Linked DNA regions of Mus musculus. The main gene of each other region encodes a partner of the protein of the gene in region 6 in a complex. Links are inferred from orthologs where the notes say so. Each region holds a gene or a part of one and is shown on either strand. Other genes may lie near its edges.

What was found.
Region 1: Nup160 (region 6) and Nup205 share a complex: the UniProt entries of both Homo sapiens proteins name them as parts of the nuclear pore complex. The link is inferred for Mus musculus from reciprocal best matches to the Homo sapiens genes NUP160 and NUP205.
Region 2: Nup160 (region 6) and Nup93 share a complex: the UniProt entries of both Homo sapiens proteins name them as parts of the nuclear pore complex. The link is inferred for Mus musculus from reciprocal best matches to the Homo sapiens genes NUP160 and NUP93.
Region 3: Nup160 (region 6) and Nup107 share a complex: the UniProt entries of both Homo sapiens proteins name them as parts of the nuclear pore complex. The link is inferred for Mus musculus from reciprocal best matches to the Homo sapiens genes NUP160 and NUP107.
Region 4: Nup160 (region 6) and Cetn3 share a complex: the UniProt entries of both Homo sapiens proteins name them as parts of the nuclear pore complex. The link is inferred for Mus musculus from reciprocal best matches to the Homo sapiens genes NUP160 and CETN3.
Region 5: Nup160 (region 6) and Ranbp2 share a complex: the UniProt entries of both Homo sapiens proteins name them as parts of the nuclear pore complex. The link is inferred for Mus musculus from reciprocal best matches to the Homo sapiens genes NUP160 and RANBP2.

Annotation. Positions count from the first base shown.
Region 1 is NC_000072.6:35,191,116-35,194,615, reverse strand, and holds part of Nup205 (nuclear pore complex protein Nup205), read right to left. Parts: intron 2,743-3,500; coding exon 2,578-2,742; intron 212-2,577; coding exon 36-211; intron 1-35. UniProt on the Homo sapiens protein: Plays a role in the nuclear pore complex (NPC) assembly and/or maintenance. May anchor NUP62 and other nucleoporins, but not NUP153 and TPR, to the NPC.
Region 2 is NC_000074.6:94,213,322-94,217,363, forward strand, and holds the start of Nup93 (nuclear pore complex protein Nup93), read left to right. Parts: upstream 1-1,242; 5' UTR 1,243-1,310; intron 1,311-4,042. UniProt on the Homo sapiens protein: Plays a role in the nuclear pore complex (NPC) assembly and/or maintenance. May anchor nucleoporins, but not NUP153 and TPR, to the NPC. During renal development, regulates podocyte migration and proliferation through SMAD4 signaling.
Region 3 is NC_000076.6:117,779,206-117,782,705, reverse strand, and holds part of Nup107 (nuclear pore complex protein Nup107), read left to right. Parts: intron 1-645; coding exon 646-749; intron 750-1,257; coding exon 1,258-1,385; intron 1,386-1,979; coding exon 1,980-2,028; intron 2,029-3,500. UniProt on the Homo sapiens protein: Plays a role in the nuclear pore complex (NPC) assembly and/or maintenance. Required for the assembly of peripheral proteins into the NPC. May anchor NUP62 to the NPC. Involved in nephrogenesis.
Region 4 is NC_000079.6:81,781,747-81,786,046, reverse strand, and holds the start of Cetn3 (centrin-3), read right to left. Parts: upstream 2,801-4,300; 5' UTR 2,707-2,800; coding exon 2,690-2,706; intron 1,407-2,689; coding exon 1,271-1,406; intron 1-1,270. UniProt on the Homo sapiens protein: Plays a fundamental role in microtubule-organizing center structure and function. As a component of the TREX-2 complex, involved in the export of mRNAs to the cytoplasm through the nuclear pores.
Region 5 is NC_000076.6:58,449,852-58,453,351, reverse strand, and holds part of Ranbp2 (E3 SUMO-protein ligase RanBP2), read right to left. Parts: intron 1,369-3,500; coding exon 1,301-1,368; intron 41-1,300; coding exon 1-40. UniProt on the Homo sapiens protein: E3 SUMO-protein ligase which facilitates SUMO1 and SUMO2 conjugation by UBE2I. Involved in transport factor (Ran-GTP, karyopherin)-mediated protein import via the F-G repeat-containing domain which acts as a docking site for substrates.
Region 6 is NC_000068.7:90,675,788-90,680,014, reverse strand, and holds the start of Nup160 (nuclear pore complex protein Nup160), read right to left. Parts: upstream 2,801-4,227; 5' UTR 2,545-2,800; intron 2,502-2,544; exon of another isoform or gene 1,002-2,501; 5' UTR 607-1,001; coding exon 507-606; intron 244-506; coding exon 132-243; intron 1-131. UniProt on the Homo sapiens protein: Functions as a component of the nuclear pore complex (NPC). Involved in poly(A)+ RNA transport.

The DNA.
Region 1 (3,500 bases), on a different chromosome or scaffold from region 6:
CTTTCACAAAGCTCTTCCTACACTTCCATACTTACTTTCATTGGCATAAATGCAAGGAAGTCTGTGATAAGACTGTGGATTCTGCGGATGTAAAACTCTTCCTGATAGAAGTTTTCAGCCAGCACAACAGCCTCGCTGAGGAACAGGAAGACATTATCAGCAATGGCCAGCTCTGCAATTGCTTCATCTGCTTCTGTGAACTCAGCCAGGGCTACAGATTCAGAACACAGAAAAGCAAAATGAGAAAAGCCTTTAACTCAGCTTGTATCTCATGACAGAATGTTAGTGAAGCATATTTCAGACATTTTTCCAGCCTCCTAACAGGTGCTATGCACAAAATGAAATTATATATAATTGTAATTGATTCACAAACTCCAAAGAACTACTAAAAGAGTACATTTGAAATACAAATGTAGCTGGATATGGTGATGTATGCCTTTAGCCCCAGCACTCAGGAAGCAGAGTGCTGAGTTTGAGGCCAGCCTGGTCTTTGTAGCAAGCTGCAGGCTAGCCAGGACTACATAGTGGACCTTGTCTCAAACAAAGCAAAACAATTGTAAGAGCACTGGCTCTTCCCATAAGTGACTTGCTAATCAATGCAATGTTAACACTGATATAGACAGAGAGCTCTTATACAAACATAGCATGCAAAAACAATATAGGAGCTTTAATCACAGACATTTCCAAAGGTTTTCTTGTTATTGTTTTGACTTTGTTTGGGTTGGTTTTATTGAGGCAGGGTCTCAACTGTGTAGCCCTGGCTAGCCTGGAACTCACTTTATAGATTAGGTTGGTCTTCAACTCAAGAGATCCTCCTGCCTCTGCATCCCAAATACTAAGAGCCCCACCTTCTAGAGAGGTTTACTTGAGGAAAGACTCACCTTGAATATGATTGTTTCACACCATAGGCTAAGGCCCTAGGCTGAATTTAAAGAGGAAAAAAAGATCGCAAACTAGCGCAACACCATATTATCTTCCTGCTTCCTGACTGCAGATTCATGCCATCACTTCTTATACTCCTTCTGAGCTCTATCTGCCATGACAAACCCCCACAAGCCATGGGAGCCAAAATAAACTCTTCCTCCCTTGAACCTCATCTTACGCAAACCTAGAGAAGTGAAAAAGCCTTTGTATTTCAAATTACAATGAAAGGACAGCTGGTAAAGCAAACCATTCTAAGCATCATTTCACGAATCTAGACAACAGAATAGCTTGCCCTGTGTAGAACAGGATTAAGTAAATGGCCCTATTGTCTTAGCTAGGGTTTCATTGCTGTGAACAGACACCATGACCACGACAACTCTTAAAAGGACAACATTTCATTGGGGCTGGCTTACAGGTTCAGAGATTCAGTCCATTATCAAAGAGAGCATGGTAGTGTCCAGGCACGATGCTGGAGGAGCTGAAAATTCTACCTCTTGTTCTGAAGGCAGCTAATACTTGCTCCCACGTGGTTAGGAGGATGGTCTCATTGCCCACCCCCACAGTGACCTACTTCCTCCAACAAGGACACACCCACTCCAATAAGGCCACACCTTCTAATAGTGCCACATCCTAGGCCAAGCATATTCATTCAAAGCATCACACCTATCTATGCTTGATTGATCCAAACATCTCCTTTCCAACACACTGAGTTTAAAAAACTAGATCTTCAGTTTGATACAATGTGAAAAAGTTTGTAAACAAAAATTTAAGTGGTGGCACACATTTAATAATCCCAGCACTTTAGAGGTAAAGCCAGGAGAATGAGAAGCTCCAGGGCACCTTTAGCTACATAGTTTGGGGCCAGCCTGGGATACATGAGACCCTGTTTAAAAAAGAAAGAACTAGAACCGTAGCTCAGTGGCAGAACCCTCCTCCCTTAGCACATATTTAGAAGGCTCTAAGGTCAATCATCAGTACCACAAAAAAGAAAAAGGATAGGTATGACTCTGTGGGAGTCTCACTCTTCTCAACTCCTACACTGAAGGTAAAGACCTCTCACTAGATTCACAAAAGGAGGTAACCTCTGAGGTTCTCTTCTGAGACAGCAAATAAGGTGCATCTCAGTTCTACTTTACAAAGTTATGAGGGGTGTGTTATTGTTGTTTTTGAGACAGTCTCTCTATGCAACCCTGCCTGCCTGGAGCTCGACGTAGACTAGGCTGGCCCCAAACTATAGAGATCCGCCTACATCCTGAGTGCTGGAATGAAAAGTGCTAACACAAATTTTTATCAAACAACTTGTATTTTCACGTGCTCATATTTACACTTTCTCTTTCTGATTTAAAATTTGATATTTGAAAACAAACGCATTTAGAGCTGGAAAGATGGCTCAGTGGTTAAGAGCCCTGGATGTTGTTCCTCAAAAAAACCCAGGCTCCATTCCCCACATCCACATGATAACTAGAAACCATTCCTAACTCCAGGGAATTCTTGGATCTCAGGTAATGTTAGACACACATGTGGAATACAGACATATATGCAGGCAAAACACTCGCACATAAAATAAGTCACCTAAAAACTTTTAAAGGAAGAAAATCAATGCATCGCTAGGTACAGTGGCAGAGCCAGTTCTCTCCAACCTTCCTTCCTTACCTGTTACATCCGGTAGCTGGGATATCCCCCTCAACGCCAGGGCCCAGGCAAGCCTAACAGTGGCCTGCAGTCCAGGAAGCTTCCAAGGCTGAGAGTCCTGGAGGCGAGAGTGAATTGTCGAAACGTACTGTCTCTCTGTCAACAGTGGAAGGTGGTGAATCATATCTGAAAACACAAAATTACATCACTTCACCAAAAAAGAGCAGAAATAAATTCTCACATCCGTCACACATGGATATCTAAAAGTCATAAACACAGCATTTTCAAAAGGAATGATGACTAATTAACATCATTATTTGATATAACAAAATATCTGTATTGCTGTTAAAGTATTATATGCATAAAAACTAAAAACAACAACCCTAAATTTCAGTTAACAACTTCCAATAAGTTTCATAGACAGCAGAAATTAGAAAAAGAAGCACTCACTGTTTTTTCTATACAGGAATTCTAAAATATAAATAAATGCTCTCTAAAGATAAAATGAGTCACCTACTTCTCATACACAAAAACTATGTCAAAGAGAAGTAAAGAATCTGTGTTTCACAAGTTTTACAAATGTGAGTAAGGAACAAAGCAGGCAGCTGCAGCAAAGGCAGGCACGTGCACGCGTGACCACATTGCTTTCTACCGTGTAACACCGTCATTTCAGGAAACCACCTGCACAGGAACAAAGCTGAGCACAGGGGGCGCACGCCTTAAGCCCAGCACTGGGGGAGCAGAGGTGGGCAGATCCCTGAAGTTCGAGGCCAGCCTGATCAACACAGTAAGTTCTAGGACAGCTAGGGCTAAACAGAGAACCTCTCACTCAAACACAAAACAAAACAAAACAAAACAAAACAAAACAAAACAAAACAAAACAAAAAACAAAGACAGAGTTTGCTGTCGTTGCTATTAGAAAGCAAACTTAGGGCCTCAGGTAT
Region 2 (4,042 bases), on a different chromosome or scaffold from region 6:
GCTGACTAGAACACTTTATCAAACAGGCATCTACCAAACTAGAATTATTAATGGTGACAACCTTGCCTAGGCCTGTGTTCACATGGTCCTCATTAGGTCAGGACGGTGACCTTCATTGAAAGATTAGACATGTTCGAGACTGTGCAATCCAAAAAGTGCCTCTTTAACGATTACAGGCTATTACGGGAGCTAAAGCAATGGCTCAGCATACTGCTCTTGCAAAGGACTTTGGGTTTGGTTCCTAGTACCCATGCCGCCTCACAACCACCTGTAATCTTACTCCGGAGATCTGATGACCTCTTTTGGCCTCCTTGAGCACCAGGACACACACACACACACACACACACACACACACACACACACACACACACTCACACACGAGTGCTTACAGTTAGCCCCACACTCTTTTACATTTGTCAAAACCTCCTCCTATCCAGGTCTCTCCTCTCAGCAGCTGCTGAGACCTGCAGCTTGCCTGTCCTGTTATTTTTCTCTCAAACTCCCAACAAAATTGTTTTCATTCAGCGCCTGTTTTCAAATTTCTTTTACCCACTAGACTAAGAACCTCCTGAAGGGTTCTTGTATATCCCAGTGACACACTTTGTTCCCAACGCGGCCACACTGAAGTAATCTCTTTTCTTTGGGTATCACCACTGCTTTTTTCTGTAATTGGCCAACGGGGCAGGTGGCCAGCCTAGCTTGCTTGTTCAGGCTGCCAAAAGACAGCCTTTTCCCTTGAGAAACTCCAAAACATGTTTTTATCTTTCACCTTTCAGTTGGAATGACACCTTTCCTGGCCATCCGACCATTTTTCTTCAATTAGTTTGCTTTTCCGTTCTTAGCTCTCCTAATTACTGCTGCATTTATTCACTATATTTTGTTTCCCTGGCCAAGCTGAGAACTGCTTGAGGTCAGGGATCTTGTCTGCTGTGGAAGTCACCGTGTTCCCTGCACCTAGAACAGGCCCAGGCACTTGACTGAAGCTCTACACCGAGTGGCCGAGCTCTCTGGGTCTGCCCAGCATTGGGAACTGCGGAAATGCTTCCTCTAGGACTGTCAACTCCAACCACGTGGGCGGGAGCAGGGCGGAGCTCCTTGACTTACTTGTAGCGACAGCCCCGCCTCCGGCCCCGCCCCGCCCCCACGCCTGTGTCCTCTTGCGGGTCTCCATAAAGTTCATTTGGCGGCGCAACGCGCAGGGGCTTCTGGGAGCTTACTGCCTCAGCCAATCAGGAGGCGCGGGCGAGCGGCGCGAGAAGCGGCGGCGGCGGCGTAGTGAAGAAGCCGGCAGCGGGCGGCGACGGAGGCAGGTAAGGTGTGTGAGGTGTGGGCGCCCACGCGGCCCCGAGCCGACCCTGGGCCCGAGTTCGGGGCCTGGCCTTGAAGCAGAACACCGAGCCTAGTTCGAAGAGGCTCGTGCTTCCTCTCTTGCTGTAGCTGGGCATGCCGGCCGGCGACTGCTCGCCGAGTGCTGTGACTAGGCTCTTCCGAGCGTGGTCCTCCCCACTGGTGCTCTGTCGCCACGCCCACCCACGGCTGCCAGGCGTCACCCGGCCTGACTGCCCTCTTTGGGGCGTGGGGGCCGTTCTTCTAGAGAATGGCTCTTCCGGGTGAAGGGGCGGCCAGCGAACCCCTGTCAACTTTAATCTCCTTTTACGGAGAATCCGACAGGATGCTAATGATTGCCGCTTCGGTTGTCTCACCTGTTTCTGGGTACCCTGTATCCTGTCTTCTGTAAGGGATGCCCAAGTATATTGGGTCCCTTCTGAAAGAAAATCACAGCATGGGCGGCATGGTGTCGCTTTCAAAGCGAGTTGAAGCCAGCCTGATCTACATTAGACCCTGCCCCACCCCTACCCCCCTAGATGACTTTCAGTACAAGCAAAGGTCAGCGCTTTAGTAATAATAACAGTAATACTAATCATAGAAATAACAACAACAATAGTAATATAAGCTCCCTGTAGTGAGCTGTAAGGCTTTTAAATAACGTGACCCATACTTTCAATGTCTGTTACACCCCACATTCTCTCCCCACCCCCAACACCACCGCAGGACATGCTTTGACTTAAGGGCTTTGTTCTTGTGGTTGGATGTCTGTTTTGTCTGCTCTCTTTCTTGGAGTCTTCACTAGGGCCATTAGAATCTAAGCCTTTCCTCACTCTTCTTGTCTTCACTGCTTTTTTTTTTTCCCCTAAGCATTTAGGTTTTATTTGTCCTATGTATTGTTTGTCCTTCCCCGACCCCTGTAGAACATGAGTGCCTACCTAGTACTTAAGTTTGGTACACAATAAAGTAGGTGCTCAATAAATATCAAATAAATGAATGTTACTGATATTATAGGCTTGTGGTGAATGAGACAGGCTTCTTTCTTGGGAAGACATCACACACATAAGCAATAAACATAAATATTAAAACCATGAGACTTGAACTGTTGGAGCTGTGGTGAACTTGGGTTCTTCTCCCTCCCTCCCTCCCTCCCTCCCTCCCTCCCTCCTCTCTTCCTCTCATTTGTGTGTTCTTGTGTGTCTTTTATGTATGTGGATATTTCTGTGGAGGCCAGAAGAGAGTGTCTGATTCCTTGGAGCTAGAGTTACAGACAGCTGTAAATCACTGATGTGGGTGCTGGGACCTGGGCTGGCGTCCTCTACAGAGCTGTAGATTTTCTTAACTGCTGAGCCATCTCTCTTACCCCTGAGCCTATAAGGTAGATGCATTTTGAGGTGTTTGTGTGTGTGTCAGAGTAAAGATCAGGAGGAGGTCCCAACTCTGTTATGGTCACTAGTCATTTTAATTAGCAAACATGTTTTTAGTTCTATTATGTGCCAGGCTTAGGTCAATGCTCAGGATTCAGAGTTAAATATCTGTGAACCTTCCTCTACGGGAAGAGATGTTTGAGAAGTGGTCACAATTGCTCCGCTAGGGAAGAATGCCTAGAAGGTTCAGAATAAGTAGGGAGGGCCTTCTCTGTCTGTGGTGGGGATGCTTGTGTGCTTGACAGGTACAGGAGCGGGAAGGGAAGAAACTGCCAGGCTTCCTGAGGAGCAGAGATGTGTCAGGGTACAACTGAAGAAGGAGGGAAGAGTTGAAGGTGGTGCATGGCGCTGTCTGTTTTACAGAGCACCTCATGCAACCATGTCACAAACTGAGGTTGAGGTGCCCCAACTGGTCTAAAGTGGGAGATATTTTGGAATGGCCACTTTGGCCACAGGGAGAGTGTGTTAGAAGAAATGGGAAGTTTTAGACTGTTGAGGTAATCGGGAGGAAGGCATGAAGGTCAGAGCAGAGGGGAACGGTGAGGGCATGACTTGTCATGAGCTTTGAGAAGTAAACTTGGTTATAGGCTAGTCTCAGGGGAGAGGGGAGCCAGATGGTTTCTGGCTAAATTGACTGTTGTGGGGACCCAAGGTGAGGAACTAGAATTGTTGCTGGCATCCATAGATCAGTCAGGAGTAGCTATCAGATAGACAACTAGAAATAATTGGTTTGGAGAAAGAATTGGATGGAATTTAGAGATGCAACAGTCTTTTTTTTTTCTCTCTTATAGTATGGCCACTTATAGCTATCTCCCCTTTGTTTCAAACAACCTAAAGCTTGAAATGTTTTGTAGCTTTATGTTTGATGTATACGTGTGTGTGTGTGTGTGTGTGTGTGTGTGTGTGTCTGTGTGTGTGTGTGGTGAGATGCATGCCCATATATGTTTGGATGTGTGTGTGTGGGGGGGTGAGATGCTGCCCATATGTGTTTGGATGTGTGTGTGTGTGGGGGTGAGATGCATGCCCACATGTGCTTGGATGTGTGTGTGTGTGTGGGGGGGGGGGGTGAGATGCATACCCACATGTGTGTGTGTGTGTGTGTGTGTGTGTGTGTGTGGTGAGATGCATGCCCATATGTGTTTGGATGTGTGTGTGTGAGATGCATGCCCATATGTGTTTGGATGTGTGTGTGTGTGTGTGTGTGGTGAGATGCATGCCCATATGTGTTTGGGTGTGTGTGTGGGGGGGGTGAGATGCATGCCCATATGTGTTTGGATGTGTGTGTGTGT
Region 3 (3,500 bases), on a different chromosome or scaffold from region 6:
CACATGCATTCAGTCCCAGCACTCAGCAGGCAGAAGCAGAGGCAGACCTCTGAGTTTGAGGTCTCAGAGTGACTGGTAGATAGAGAAAGTTCGAGGCCAGCCAAAGCCATCTTGTAAGCCTCCCAAAAAGTGTGTGTGTGTGTGTGTGTGTGTGTGTGTGTGTGTGTGTGTGTGTGTGTGTGAAAGAGAGAGAGATTGAGAGATTGAGAGATTCACATTTGAACATACTGAGGCCCCTAGCACAGTAGCACACTTCTGTAATCCCACATTTTAGAGGTGGAGGCAGGAGTAAAGGTTTTTAAAAAATGTACTGTGTGTGGTACTTTGCCTGGATGTGTAGACGTGCACCATGTGAGTGCCTGGTGCTCTTGGTGTGCAGAAGGAGCCATCAGCTTTCCTAGAACTGGAGTGATGGTGGGTGGTTGTGAGCTTTTGTGTGGTGTGGGTACTGGGAACCAAACCTGGCTCCTCTACAAGAGCATTGTGCTCTTGACCACTGAGCCAACTGTCTCTCCAAGTCACTAGTTCTTACAAATACAGTTATGGAAGGAGGGAAAGATGTGTAGTCACCTTGGTGGCTTTGGTGCAATAGAATGTGTTAGTGTATGGAACTGACGTGGTGCTCCCTTGCTCCCTGTGTTTTAGCATCCATGAGCATGTTCTCTGATTTCCTGCACTCTTTCTTGAAGCACTCTTCAACCACAGTCTTTGATCTCGTAGAAGAATATGAAAATATTTGTGGTAGTCAGGTAAGTGAATTCTGTCCTATGTTTGGTCAGCTTAAGTGCTTGGAGTTTTCTTGTCTCTTTGGAGAAAAAAAGAAATCTGCTCCTTAGAAAAGAAAGTCTGAGGCTAGAGAGACAGCTTAGTGAGAAAACGTCTGAGTCTGCGAGCATGGGGGCCTGAGTTCAGATTCCCCGCACACCAGGGCCATGGCTGTGGGGGCAGCAGGGCAGATCCAGGAGGCCATCCCTGACAGGAGTGACAGACGCACCCTTACTGCGAGATGCCGATAGTGAGGGAGGGCGTCCGTGCGGATGTGGGAGCAGGAATGGTGGGTTCTCTAGCTTTCATTCAGTTTTGCAGTGAACCTAAAAGTGCTATTTATAAAGCAAGGAACAGAACTTCAGAAAATGGTCATGTGTGAGAATAAGCGGAATATTGGCTTGGGAAGCAGCCAAGCAAATAAAGTGTTAGCCACACAGGCAACTGAGAGTGGTAGGCAAGCAGCCTCTTATGTCTGTGTTCTTCCCGTAGGTGAATATCCTCAGTAAAATAGTGAGCCGCGCAACGCCTGGACTGCAGAAGTTTTCCAAGACGGCCAGTATGCTCTGGCTTCTCCAACAGGAGATGGTCACATGGAGGCTGCTCGCCTCTTTGTACAGGTAACTTTCTGTAGAGCTCACAACTCCTAAGTGAGACGAACAGAAGCTAATAAGCCAGTTCGGCAGATGAATTCAGTGTTAATGAGGGGTAGCCTCAGCATAGGTTTGCTGATCTTGGGATTTATCATTCCTAATACTTGAGGTGTGGAGAGTATGTTATGAGGAAGAGGGGCCATCAGGTCATAAAACTGGGAGCTACAAACTTACCAGTCCATAGCCAGACAAAGCACAACACCCGTGTGATCCCAGGAGGCCTAGGCGAGCCTGGGCTCCAGAAAGTAAGGGAAGAAAGAGACCTGGTGGTTTGGGGTTTTATTATGCAATACTGAAAGATTTGCTTAATTATGCTATATGAAAAGGTACGTTCCTTTGGGGGTGCCTTCAGGCTACAGTAGTGGTTGCCCTTTGTGCTCGGGTCTTGGTACTGGAGTGATGATGTAGTTACTGCTTACTTCCTTCATTAAAGGTGATGATGGAGCCCACTGCATCTCATTGGTTTCTACGCCGTCACACCACAGAGTGTGGGACAGCTTACCAGGTGGCTTCATGCATTTGTGTAAAGTAAAGCTTTTTCATTTGTGTTCTTTTCCCCAGAGACAGAATACAGTCTTCATTAGAAGAGGAAAATATGTTTGCAATTGCTGTAAGTTTTCTATGAATTTTTTCCGTCACAGGTTTTTTCCATTACGCTTTACAGATTTGATTTTTCAACCCTCCATTTGCATTTCCCCATTAAAAAAGATTTACAAGTACAGAGATGATGTTCAAAGTAATCAAATGTTTATAGTTATGGGTAAAAGTTCTTTTTATCCCTCAAATTATTTAACGTAATAACTTGGATTAACATCCTATCAGATGTTTTCTGTGTATTTTTATACATACACACATAATCAAATTACTCTTGAGTCATTTGTTCTGTTTTTCTTTTCCCTTTTTTGAGACAGGGTGTGGTTTTTGTAGTCCAGATGGCCTCAAAGTCACCACCCTTCTGTCTCCCCATCTTGAGTGCTGAGATTATAGATATACGCCATCACACCACACATCTTATATTGGTTTTATTTATTTATTTACTATTGGGCATTTTCTGAGAGTCTCCTGAAGTATAAACTGGCCTCTGAAGTATAAACTGGCCTAGACCTGTCTGTCGGGTCAGAACTGCCGGGATTATGAGGGAGCAGACGGCACCCAGTCAGGCCTCATGAATGCCAGGCATCTCTGCCAGCTGCGCCACATCCCAGCACATGGCTTTTTGTTTTGCTTTTTAAAGATTCATTAGTAATAAATCTGTATGTCAGCAATAGTAATTTTATATGGGGTTATCTTTTTTCCTGTCCCCCTAACCTCTTATTGTTATGTGTATGTGAAGATATAATTGCATCTTAACTGTTATAGACTATTTTACTTCTCTATTTTGGAGGCAACTGTCTCATTTTAATATGTAAATTCTTGGTTACTGTTAAGAAAGGAAGTTTGTTTGCTGACAGTTGGAAGGAGACTGGAAACGGTCAGTGGTCTTTTGGGGTTTTGTTTCTTTTAGCTTCTGTTAACAACTTTCTGTAGTTTATCGTCATCGTGGATTGTAATGATAGCTTTCCTAATACTACATTATTTCTGTAAAGATGGGCCATGTGGTATTCCTATATGTACTTCTTGATTTTATTAGGCACACTATTTAAGACTTTAAGGTCTGTGGTATATTTCTATAGCATCCTCATATAATCTTCATCTATAGGATTATGCAAGTTCTTCAGAACAAGTTCAAGAAAAAAGGGTTGGTTTTTTTTGGTATATGTTTTTTGTTGAAGAATGTGCACATTAATTTGTTCACTGAAGGATGAGCAAAACTGTCTGTGACAGCAATGCCTTCAAGGAGTCAGGCTGCTGCTGGCTCTCTCCTACCCCAGAGACACCCCAGCCCCTCCCTGGTTTTGGTTTTAGTTTCTGAAATAAGGTCTAGTGTAGGCACAGCTCCAAATTTTATCACTTTATGAAAGTGTTTTACCAGCATATATGTCTGTGTACCACGTGTGTGCCTGAGAATTCCCTGGAACTAGAGTTCCGGTGGACAGTTAGGAGCCCCCGTGTGGGTGGATGATGGAAATCAACCTCATGTCC
Region 4 (4,300 bases), on a different chromosome or scaffold from region 6:
AACAAACGCAGAGGAAGCCAGGAAAGGCTTATGAGCTAACAACATGGTCAAAGAATTCAAGAAAGATAGATATGTAAGGGTAGTGTAAAGACGAATAGAAAAGGAGGAAGCTCGAGCTGTGAAACCAAGTCCCAAACCGAAACAGTCAATGCCAACAAATGGCGAGACACTGTACAGGACGGACTCAGACTGCACGGGAGGGAGCGGCAGCAAGACACAAGTGGGATGGGGAAGGAGCGAACAGAGGGCCTCAATATTGAGGCCCCAGCTTCAGGCCTGTAATACTTTCAGATAGTCTATCCTCTCACCTCAGTTTCTATCTACCCCTACTTGAAATGCTTAAAAATCACCTACAATGTTGCCCAATTTAAAACTACAGTTAACATTTAAGATATCAAATGTTATCTTTCTCACTGGGTTGAACATAAGAAATGTGTTCATAACAAATTTCCCCCTCGATCTTTACTCGTAATTTTAATCCTTAAATTGGGTATTTTCCCTCAGCACATAGCAACATTAGGCATCAGACAATTTATATCCTTTGTAACAGAGACGAGCACACTAAGAGTGTGTTAGTACTATTTTAAAAATTAAAAGCTCAATCTCAGAAATGTCTGAGCAAAGGCAACTATCTCTCCATCTCAAAACTTTTTAGGTTGCACTACAGAGATAGCTCAGTGAGTAAGAGTGCTCCTCGCCCTGCAATCTTGAGGACCAGAGTTCAAATCCCCAGCACTCATGTAAAAAGACAGGCCTGGCTGCAGGTGCCAGTGACAGAGGTGTGTTGATTGGAGTGACCCCAGAGTTCACTCTCTAGCCAACCTAGTTCAGAAGTACTGAACTTCCAATTCAATGAGACAGTCTGTCTCAAGGCAACAGTGTTGGAAGGCACACAAGGCCGTACTCTACACTGCACATGATACACATGGAATGTACAGGTCTGCACAAGCAACAAGCATAGGCCACAAACATCGTGTTTTAAAAAGCTGAGCTATATACCATCCCACAGAGGAAAACAGCAGTGGGAAGAGCATGCTAAGGACTCTCCCTTTAACTGGGTGAATGGAGAAGTTACACTTTCCATCATTACGCACTTAAATACAAGGTTCTACAAGCCATATTCTGTTTGTACTGTTTTCTTGTACCACCTGTGGGTGGGCACTACAAACAGCCTCACAGTTCCGAGACAAGCTTCTAAAATAGACTTTAAAGCAACAGTCACAAATGCAATTGAGTTAAACAAAAATGGGTCTTAAAAGTCCCCTGTTACCTTTAATTCATGATAATCTATGGCTTGGTCTTTGTCGGTATCAAACAGCTCAAAAGCATCTTTAATTTCTTGCTTCTGTTCTTCAGAGAGCTCTCTTCGTTTTTTCCTTTTTGTTTTGTCTACTACAAGCTCACCTCTAGGACACAGAAAAATGTCTTTAGGCCACTTTAACCCATCTTAGGACAAAGATTCATTTTCTAAATTTTAACAAAGCAGAGTAGCCTGGCAAATAAAGGAACTGCCCCTAAATCAATGTCCTGTAGTCAAATGTACTTTTATAAGAGAAATCCTAAACAAAGTCAAAAGCACCGAAAACACCATACATATTATTCATGTCATCTACCAAAAATAAAGAACAAAACAATGTCATCTACCAAAAATAAAGAACAAAACAATCAACCAGAATAGACTTGATTTTGGACAGCTTATAAATTCTCACAATTACTACAAAAAAACAACCATAAAACTTAAAAGATTACTTTTGCACTGTAAGCTCAAAATGTTTTTAGATTATACATTTGTAACACTGCTTTGTGGTTTTATTCCACTGATATTAGCCAGGCAAAATATAAAAGGGTCTAAACATTCAAATACTAGACACCAAAAAAAAAAAAAAAAAAAAATCACAGCATCTAATAGTCGTGCTTAAGTCTACGTGATGTTTAAAAGTGTTTTAACTCTCACTTAACATGTAAACGATAGGTTAAACGTCTTAAAACTCTGGAGAAGCTTAAAGAAAAATCTAAAAAGGGCACTTGGATCTGAAAATGTCTGCCTTCAAAAGCTGCCAATGCAAAAAGCGGTCCAAATGTGTAAACGAGGATACAGCACGTGTATCCGCACGTTCTAAAAGATGGAAGCTTTAAACCTCAAACCCTTGAAACTCGGCTAACTAACTGCTCGCGCTATTTACGTCTGGACGCCGTCGGGCTCAGGGACGCCGGCCCAGTGGCCCACGTGACCCCGGCTGCCCCCACTCGCCACACCCCCACGCCAGCTCCCGCCTCCTTCGTCACCCTGCGGAGCCAAAGGGGCGGCGCGGCGCGGCCCGCCCGGGGCACCTTTAACTGTAGATGGGCAAGGTGAGGAGCCAATGAGGGGAGGGATGGACGGAAGTGAAAGGACGGTGTCACGGAAACGAGCTCCACCCGAGACGCCTAGAGCACAGCGTGCCTCGGGGCCCGGGGAGAAAGGCGAGCGCTCCTGCGACTTTCCAGGGGGAATCAGGCAACCAGGGCTGAGTCCCGCAGTCGCGTGAGGGAAACCTCGCGAGACTTCACTCGGGCTGCGGCGGTGCCCGGAGGCGGGAACCGCCGAGGTCTGGTGCTCGGCGCTGGGCACCCGCCCCCGACCCGGTCTCCCGTCCACACCCGCCCTGGCCCTCTGGGGGGACGGAGGCACGGCCTCCTCGTTACCGACCTCAGAGCTAAACTCATTCTCTCTTCCGACAGAGATGTTCCACTCGGGGACTTTACCACGGGAACCGCTCAACAGCCACCAACCTCCACGCCTCGGGGACCACCCACCAGACAAGTTTCTGGGCGCGATTGGCTGAAATTGCCAACAGCCGGCCTATTGGGGCGGAAGCGTCGCTGCTCTTCTTTTTTCATTGGTCAGCATTCATGTCAATCAAGTACACATTTTTTGGCCCTGGTTGTCAGTCTGGCTCCCTGGATTGGCCAGGTTCTTTCCCGACTCCCTTGCGCGCGTATTAGAGTCACCACGCGAGACTCAGGCAGGCAAGGCGAGGCCCCACGCGTGACATGCACGGCGTCGACCGAGGGAAGGGAAAAGGCCAGCCCAAGCAGCCTGCTCAGAACGAGGGAGCAGTTTATTGGGGAACCAGGTCTGCGAAAAGATGTACAATTTTAGGTGGCCGGTGCACCTGAGAAACTTAAATCTAAAGGCGACATTCTTTATTCTTAGTTCAGTGAGGACCAAGCTAAGCGTTCTCCCCCGTACATCTCCCAAGTGATTTTAAGGCAGGCTGGATTATGGATTAGGCTTCTCGTTTTGCTGTTTTGTTAGGTCATTTACAATGAGACTAGCCAAACCACCCTTTTCTTCTGTGCGATTGGAAATGTGTGCTTGCTTCTGCTTCTCATTTTCTAGTGCTATAAAGTGTTTATGTGCGTCTTATCTTCACTGCCCACCAAGCCTCTTAAAGTTTACTTAGATCATCAGACTGCGAGCGAGACTGACTGTCTTCAAGGCCAGGGTTCTGTTTACACGAGTATTTGTACCAAACAAAATATCTGGAACTTAGGTGCTCCATAAATATTTGATGCATAAAATGAGGTATTATTGTGGAAAACTTGGAAACTACTGAGCTAACCTGCAGTGCTTATCGGTATAAATACAATAAACTGGGGCTAGGAATTAGAAACGGCAAATACTGTATGTAAGCTTATATGTGAACGAAGGACGCTGTGTAATTGGCTATGCATGAGTTAAGCTAGAGTGTAGATAGGAATTTGGACAAGTAAAGGATTGGGATAAAGCTAAAAAGTAATAGCTAAATGATAGCACTCCCAAAACCAAAGTAGAAAAATGTTGAAGAACTCAACTGGGCATGGTGCTACACATGTTTAATCCCAGCACCCAAGAGACATGTAAGCAGATCTTTGAATTCTTTACATTGTGAATTGCAGGCCAGCCAGGACTAGTAGTAGACCCTGCCTAAAATATAAAAATTAAGTACTTTTACTAACAAGTTTAAAAGGAAATTAGGCCAAGCAGTGGTGGCTCACGCCTTTAATCTCAGCACTTGGGAGGCAGAGGCAGGTGAATTTCTGAGTTCGAGGCCAGCCTGGTCTACAGAGTGAGTTCCAGGGCAGCCAGGGCTACACAGAGAAACCTTGTCTCGAAAAAACAAACAAACAAACAAAAAAAGGAAATTAGATTACGTCATATGTATACTAAAGAACACTAGTGAAAAAAAAAACTACTAAAATTTTAAGATTGTAAAACCAAGCCTAAGAAGAAAAGTATTAAATAAAGGTGAAAATAAACCATTTACATGGAGATGTT
Region 5 (3,500 bases), on a different chromosome or scaffold from region 6:
AGGGTCTCTCTCTTGCACATTAATATACGTAGAAATGTATCTGTTTTAAAATACAAAAATAACAAATTAAACATATACTGTACCTAGTATGTACATTAAAATAATTTAAAATAAAAATACTTGCAACTAGACTGAAATACTGATAGTAGATTACAGCCTAAACCAAGCAACCATCCAATTATTTTATTGTAGCTCAATTACTGGCTACCATTACTTATTTAACATAGAGTTTAAAAATATTCATTTCAAAGTAACTAATAACCATACAGAGCTAATAACATGTTTACACATTTTACTATTTAATTCACGATTTAGACACTTATTTTATGTGTATCTAAGTGCTAGCATAAAAGTATTTGTGCCACAATGGTGCCTGGTGCCCAAGGAGACCAGAAGGTGGCACCAGGTCTCCTGGAGCTCAAGTTACAGGTGTTAGGAAGTCCCCACTTCCTCTGCAAGAGCCTCTGAGCACTCCTAACCACTAAGCCACCTCTCCTGACCCTCATTTTACTACAAAGTGCTATATTCCTCAAATATTTTTCCACCGCTACCTACCAGAAATGAACACATAAAATGCTTTTTCTTCCTGATTACACTTAGTAAAGCATTGAAGAATTTCACATAAGATAATCAAAATGATTATCATCTACAAACAATAAAATTTTAAAGTGAAAATATGTAAAACACTAAAGTTTCCCAAACTAAGAGAATCGTGTCTAAACAAGAAAATTATACATAAATACATTATGTCATACATAAAATTCATCAGAGAGATAAGTAACTAAGTGTGGTATTAAAGAACTATCCTTTTAAAACCAAGGTTACATGCAGCCTTTCTCACTACCAAGTGCCCTCCTCTTCCTATCACTGCTTTCATAATCTGCCTCCAGTGTAACTTCCACCTCTAGGCTACTCTGAGTAAGGAAATGAGACTCAGCAAGTCTCTTGCCTTACTGACAAGACAGCAACTGCTCAACTGTTAGCACTGAGTCTGTGTCTGTTGCTTATCTCCAGCCACCTGAAGCACCAGATAGCTAACCAAGAAGAAATTGACAAACAGGAATGATCTCTTTCATCCTACCCGAGAGCAATTTTAGAAAAAGTGTTTTAAACCAAGTAACTTCTGCACTAGATATAAACAGAAAGCAGTAAGAAATACTTGTTAGAGGCTCAATCTAACTATTGTCTGAGAGCAGTTAATTCCTGATTCCAGAATACACTTGAAAGAAAAAATGTGTTCTTTAGCAGTTTTTCCTATTACAAGGATGAAAAATTAAAACATTTCCAGTTTGGTACTTACTTTTTAGCAAGATCATATTCTTTAGCTTCATAGTACAGCTTTGCAAAATAGAATCCTTTCATTGACTTCTAAAAAAGAGAGTTGAGTGGTTTTACTGTTCACATTTTCAAATATTGCATTTTTTTCAAAGTACCAAAAAAAATACCCTAACAAGTTTAATACTATTTTTTTTATATAAAAGGTAAAAAATGCTGCCTAGTGTTTTAAAAGTTAATGGTCCCAAATATTATAATTTCTATCATAAAAAATAAATTCAAGGATAGTTAAAACAGACATCAGAAGCTACATTTCAAGGCATGTAAAGTAATTCATATCTGTACTCCTAAGCACTCAGGAAATAGAAGCAAAAAGATCATGAGTTCAAAGCCATCCTAAACTCAAAACCAGCCTGAGCTTACAGACAGACAGAGACACAGACACAGTCAGACACACACACAGCTTCACTCATTCTGACTGGCTAGGGATGCTTGGCCATGTATTACCCAGCATGTTTTATGTATTACCCACCAAGTATTACCCAGCATGTTTTATGTATTACCCACCAAGTATTACCCAGCATGTTTTGTACTGACTCACTGGCATCACTCTACAGAGAAGTACACAGAAAACAACTTGTCTGGGGAAAGAGACATATACTAGAAATCACTCTTTTCCTACCATGTGTAAGAAGTCTCCTTGGGAAAGCATTTCAGAACCATTAAGGTACTAGAAATTCCCTGGTCAACGTACTATTTTCTTTACAGACCAGCATTTTACACAAGGCTAAAATAAAATTTGGTATTTTGTTTTGGTTTAGGTTTTTGTTGTTTTTTTATTTGCTTGTTTTTTGTTTTTTGAGACAGGGTTTCTCTGTATAGCCCTGGCTGTCCTGGAACTCACTCTGTAGACCAGGCTGGCCTCGAACTCAGAAATCCACCTGCCTCTGCCTCCCGAGTGCTGGGATTAAAGGCGTGCACCACCACCGCCCAGCTCAAGCAAGACTGATTTCTTAAGCAATGAAATTGGTTTTTTTGCTATTTACTTTAGTGGTAATATGCTAAGAAAAGCTATTCTCACTTGAGATTCGTAAAATTTTCATCCCTATTCTTTCAGTTTCTCTAAAATTATTTTGAAATATAACACCTATTTTTCCAAGTAGTATACACTGGAGCCTTTGTTTCTAAAACCAACCATCAATTTTCAAGCAATACCTACTAGATAACCCACCCATTAAACAAACCAATCCCTTTCTCCATATTTTGGAAAGAACCAAATGTTCACGTGTAACAGAATCTGGTTCTGTTTTGAAGCCATCTTCTAGCTCTAGCACAAACTGACCTGAAATGCCACTACAGCCCAGGCTGCAAATGAACTGGGATTACGGTTATGAGCTACTATGCATTAGTATGTATCTTTTATGTATTGCAGTCTTAATTTATTAATACCTCTTTCTGCTACCCAACTTTACAAATGATTTACAAGATTATATTTGAAAATTGAACATGACATGACAATAGCAAGTTGTATTTACTTTCAATTTTTTTTAACAGTTTGTTTATCCAATTTACTTGTCTGCATGTAGGTTGTGTACACCACATACCTGTGTGATGCTGGAGGAGGTCAGAAATTAGTGTTGTATCCCCTGGAACTCAAATTATGAGCCACCATGTGGGTCCTGAGAACTAAACCAGTGTCTTTTGCAAGAGTAGTAAGTGCTCTTAGCCTCTAAGCCATCTCTCCAGCCCCTTCAATTTTTAGCTAAGTCAGACAAACTTGTAATTCAGTATTAGCTTTAGTTATTCAAAAACAATATTACAATATACAATCAATGTATATATCTGACTAGAGGTGCTTTTGCAAGTTCACTAGGACAAGTAGAGGAGATATATCGCTACTATAAATTTGTAAACTATATGAACATAATATTTAAGATAACTGGGGCTGCAGGGGATCTGATACATTCTTCTGGCCTCCTTAGGCACAAGCACACACAAAGATACATAGACATACATGTAGGCAGTACACCTACACACATAAAAATAAATTTAAATTTTTTTTAAAGACTAAATATAATTAGGACTGACAACGTGGCTTCAGTGAGTAAATGTACCTGGCATTAAGCCTAAAGACCTAAATCCCATCCCTAGGCCTCACATGGCAGAAGAGAACCAACTGCAGCAAACTTACCTTTAACTTCTACACACGTGAGCATACACATATA
Region 6 (4,227 bases):
TGAACACGAGACACCGGTTCTCTGCTTGTGTGAGGATTACGGCTAGACGTAGTAACTTGGAACAGGCACAGATATTTACACATTAGACAACCCTCCATCTCTGTAGGGGGAAGGGAAAACGCAGCACTTACCAATGAATGAACCTGTTCCTGGTGATGGAGAACAACTTGCCACTTTCCACATAATAGAAGCCACCAGCGCTCTCACTGTACTTCACCGTTCCAAACGCGGCACTTGCAGTCCCTACAAAATGAATGTGGTGGGCTTGCATGCGCGGTTCTCTGGGGGATGACAGGCACTGAAGAGTGCCGAGGAGCAGAGTGCAAGGGACTGACAGTGCATACAATAGTGAGTGGAAAAGGGAGGAAGAAGTCAGGCACAGGACAAGATGTGATGATGCACAGGCTTCAGGCATGTGGACTTGGATCCACCAGGGGAGACCAAAGGCCTACTTGGGGAGCCCGAGGGAAAGCAGTGGCTCCCATTCTCCCAAGCCCTTTCCGTACCAATGTCGCAGACTGTGAATTCCCGAAAGTGCCTGGGCCTTTCGCGTTCAGCTCCGCTCAGTTCCACGAAGCTCCGTTCCAGGGATCCCGCCGCCGCCATCTTCCCGCCGTCGCCGTGAGGCCTGACGGGACAAGGGCGGGTCACGTCGGCTCGTCACTTCCGGGGGTGTGGCGCGAGGCGGGGATATGTGTGTGCGCGATTTTGGCTGCCTGAGGACCGCGGGTCGGAGGCTCATCTGCGGCTTTTCACCGCGAGAATGAGGCTGAGGCGGGAAGAAGATGCCTTGACTCGCGGTCACTTCGGAGCGGCCGGAGACGGGCGGCGGCTGCGGCGGCGGCGCCCTTTTCCCGACGGCCTCGAGCAGGGGCGGGGCTGTGCGTGTTTTCATTTTGAAAAGCGGGCGCGGGCGGGGAAGAGGCCTGACGGGCACACTCCCAGCTTGCGGGAACCTTCCCCTCCGTTAGAGCGTTGGCGTGTAAGTTGTTATCCAGCCTCTTCATCGTTCAGCGAAACAAGGAGGAAAAGTAAAAGGAAGGAGGGATTCTTTGTGTTGGCATTTTTGCGAAACTTTTTCTTTACACACCCGCATACACATGTATGTGTTGAGATGTCAGCTCAGGTTGGCCTCGAACTCTGATCCTCCCGCCCCAGCCTCCGGAGTACTAGGATTACAGACACTTGCCACTCTGAGCGACACGGGTCGGATGCGTTGAATTAAATATTAATGCCCCAACCTTCTTGAAGTTATCGAAAATACAGTACAGTTTGCAAACGTGCAAGGAATTGTTTGTGAATTTCTTTCTGGGATCGGTCAGTATTCTCTGGAGGTTGAAGATTGATCATTCAGAGCCAGTTTGGGGCTACATAGTGAGACTTTGTAAATGAATGAGTAAATAAATTAAACTACAACTTCAGGCTTACAGCTGAACATGTTCGTTGGCAACTCCATCAGAATCACAACATTGCGAAGTTCCATAATTCTGCCCCAGCAATTGCATTTCCCTTGACCATTTATTGCCTTAATGACTATTTCGTGATTGTCACTGCCCACACCTCTCTTCAGATGCACCAGAAGAGGGCGCTAGATTTCATTACGGATGGTTGTGAGCCACCATGTGGTTGCTGGGATTTGAACTCAGGACCTTGGGAAGAGCAGTCGGTGCTCTTAACCGCTGAGCCATGTCTCCAGCCCTCACCCCCACTCATTCTTAGCTTACTCTGAAGTCGGCCGAGTGGGCATAGTGGCACACTGACAGCAGCTTTTGGAAGCAAGTAGATCAGGAGTTCAAGATTATCCTCCAATTTATGTCAAGATCAAGGCCAGCCTGAGGCTGCCTAAAACCCTGGCTCAAATCAAACAAAAAGCAGCTTTTAATCCCAGCACTCAGGAGGCAGAGGTAGGTGGGTTTCTGTGAGTTAAAGGCCAGCCTGCATTACAGAGTGAGTTCCAGGACAACCAGGGCAACAGAAACTGTCTTGACGTCCCCATTCCTCACAAAAGAAGACAACTTGCCCTGCAACCATATTTTCCTACCAGCAATTATAGCCTTATGCTTCTGTTTCTGTACATTGAACTGTGTCTGAACTTATAGAGAGACACCCTCCCTACCTTGACCTTCGGTCTATTCCTCATTTTAGCATCTTTAATTTTTCCATTTTTACTAAATTACTCCTCTAAATCTCACTAAGATAAAGTCTCCCCTAGAGCCCTGCTAACCCCTGTCCTTCTGTACTTGGCAAAAAGGGAGTTATGTCTGCACTCAGTGGATGCATCTCAGTGGATCAAGATGAAGCCTAAGGTCCTGGTCCCTTGCTTCCATCTAGGTCCATCCTGGTCAATTTCAGTTCAGTTTTCTCTGCCTAATCCTGCTTTCTTCACTCCCCTAGCAATGCTGTTCTGTGAGCACACTGTGTGCTCCTTCCTGTGTGTAAATCTCTGCTTCAGAGACTTTTTTTTTGAGAGGGAAGCTCACACACACACACACACACACACACACACACACACACAATTTAAAAAATATTTTTTTAAAAGATTACCTGTTGTGCGGCTTGGTGGCACACATCTTGAACCCCAGCACACAGGAGGCAAATGCAGGTAGATCTCTGAATTTAAGGCCAGCCTGGTCTAGGTGAATGAGATATGTTTTGGGGAACTTGTTGTTAGTGTCATTTCCCCCACATATTCAAAATCTCTATCAAGGCAGAAAGAATGCAAGATGAACGGGAAGGTGTGCTGTAACGACACTGCCTCCTGGACACAGCATGGTGGCTGCTCTCGTGAGATCATAACTGTGGTTACCTACACAAAAGACAGGGCCTGTCAACATTCCGTGGTGGGGGTTGGACTTTGAGGCCCCATCGCTCCCCGAGGAGCCGTAGGTAAAGTCAGTGGCTGCTGTGAGGGAGGAGTAATTTTCTCCAGTGGTGTATTTGCTGGTTAGTTGCCGGTGCTCCTATAAATAAGACTCCCTCCCATGCTCATTCAAGCAACTCTAATTAAACCCAGTGGGTCACAGATAGAAAAGACATGAAAGTGGAAGAGGAACTAGTTGGGAAGAAGGGCAAAGGAGGGTGATGGGGGGTCCATGATGAAGCTGGGAATAGTGGCCCACACCTGTCATCCTGGGTGCTTGGAGGGTGGAGGCATTCTAGGCTAGTCTCAGCAACATAGTAAGTGTGAGGCCTGCCTAGGTTACATCAAACCCTGTCTCACAGACGTAGGCAGAAGATTTTATTAGAGTGTGTGTTTGCTTTTTTATTAATGTTATTATTCATTTTACAAATGATGGACATCATATGACATTTTCATACATGTACTTTAGCCTACTTTGTTCACATTCACCTGTTAGCAAATCTTGTCCTCCCTTTCCCTCTTACTGTTCCCCTTCCTCTTCCCAAATAATAGTCCTCCCCTCCCCTTTTATGTCATGTATACATATATTTAAATCTAGATTTTGCATTTTTGTGCCTTCCTTTATTAATAATAATGATGATCCCCAACGTAACCATTTTCATTCAAACGATATGATTTTCTTCTTGTTTATGGCTGAATAGAACTTGAGATGTGATGTTTTCCAAGCTTCAAGCTGTCTTTGACCTTTGGTTCATGTTACAGTAAATTCAAGGTGAATTGCAGTAAGTTAACAGTAACACTTTACATTGCCCGAACTTAGTGACTTTTTTTGGGTGGTAATTCGATGGAAATTATTGAATTATTCAGTGGAATAATTTCTTTCAGTGGAAATTAGTGTTATTTTTCAGTGAGCACTTTCAATGTAATTACTTTATTTCGGGGGTTCCAGGAATGTGGTTTCCTGTCATTTGGCCAGTGACTTTCAAAAGTGATAATAGCAATGACTTGAGATCTAGCCACAGTGCAAAGGGCTTATTATTTTTTTCTATTTCTCTAGATTTTTAAATATTGGTTTTTATCTTCATGCTGTTCTATTAATCATAGTAAGTAGCTTTCCAGTTCCTGGAAGCATATTGGTTTGTCCCACACTTATTTTTTCAGTCTTGATTGCATGTTGGGCACTGGGTTATAATGATCCCCCAAAATAGGCTAAGCAGCCAGATACCTTGTCTTTCTTGTGTTTCGAGACAGGGTTTCTCTGTGTAGCCCTGGCTGTTCTGTAACTCCCTCAGTAGACCAGGCTGGCCTCGAACTCAGAAATCCACCTGCCTGCTGCCTCCCGAGTGCTGGATTAAAGGTGTTTCTCC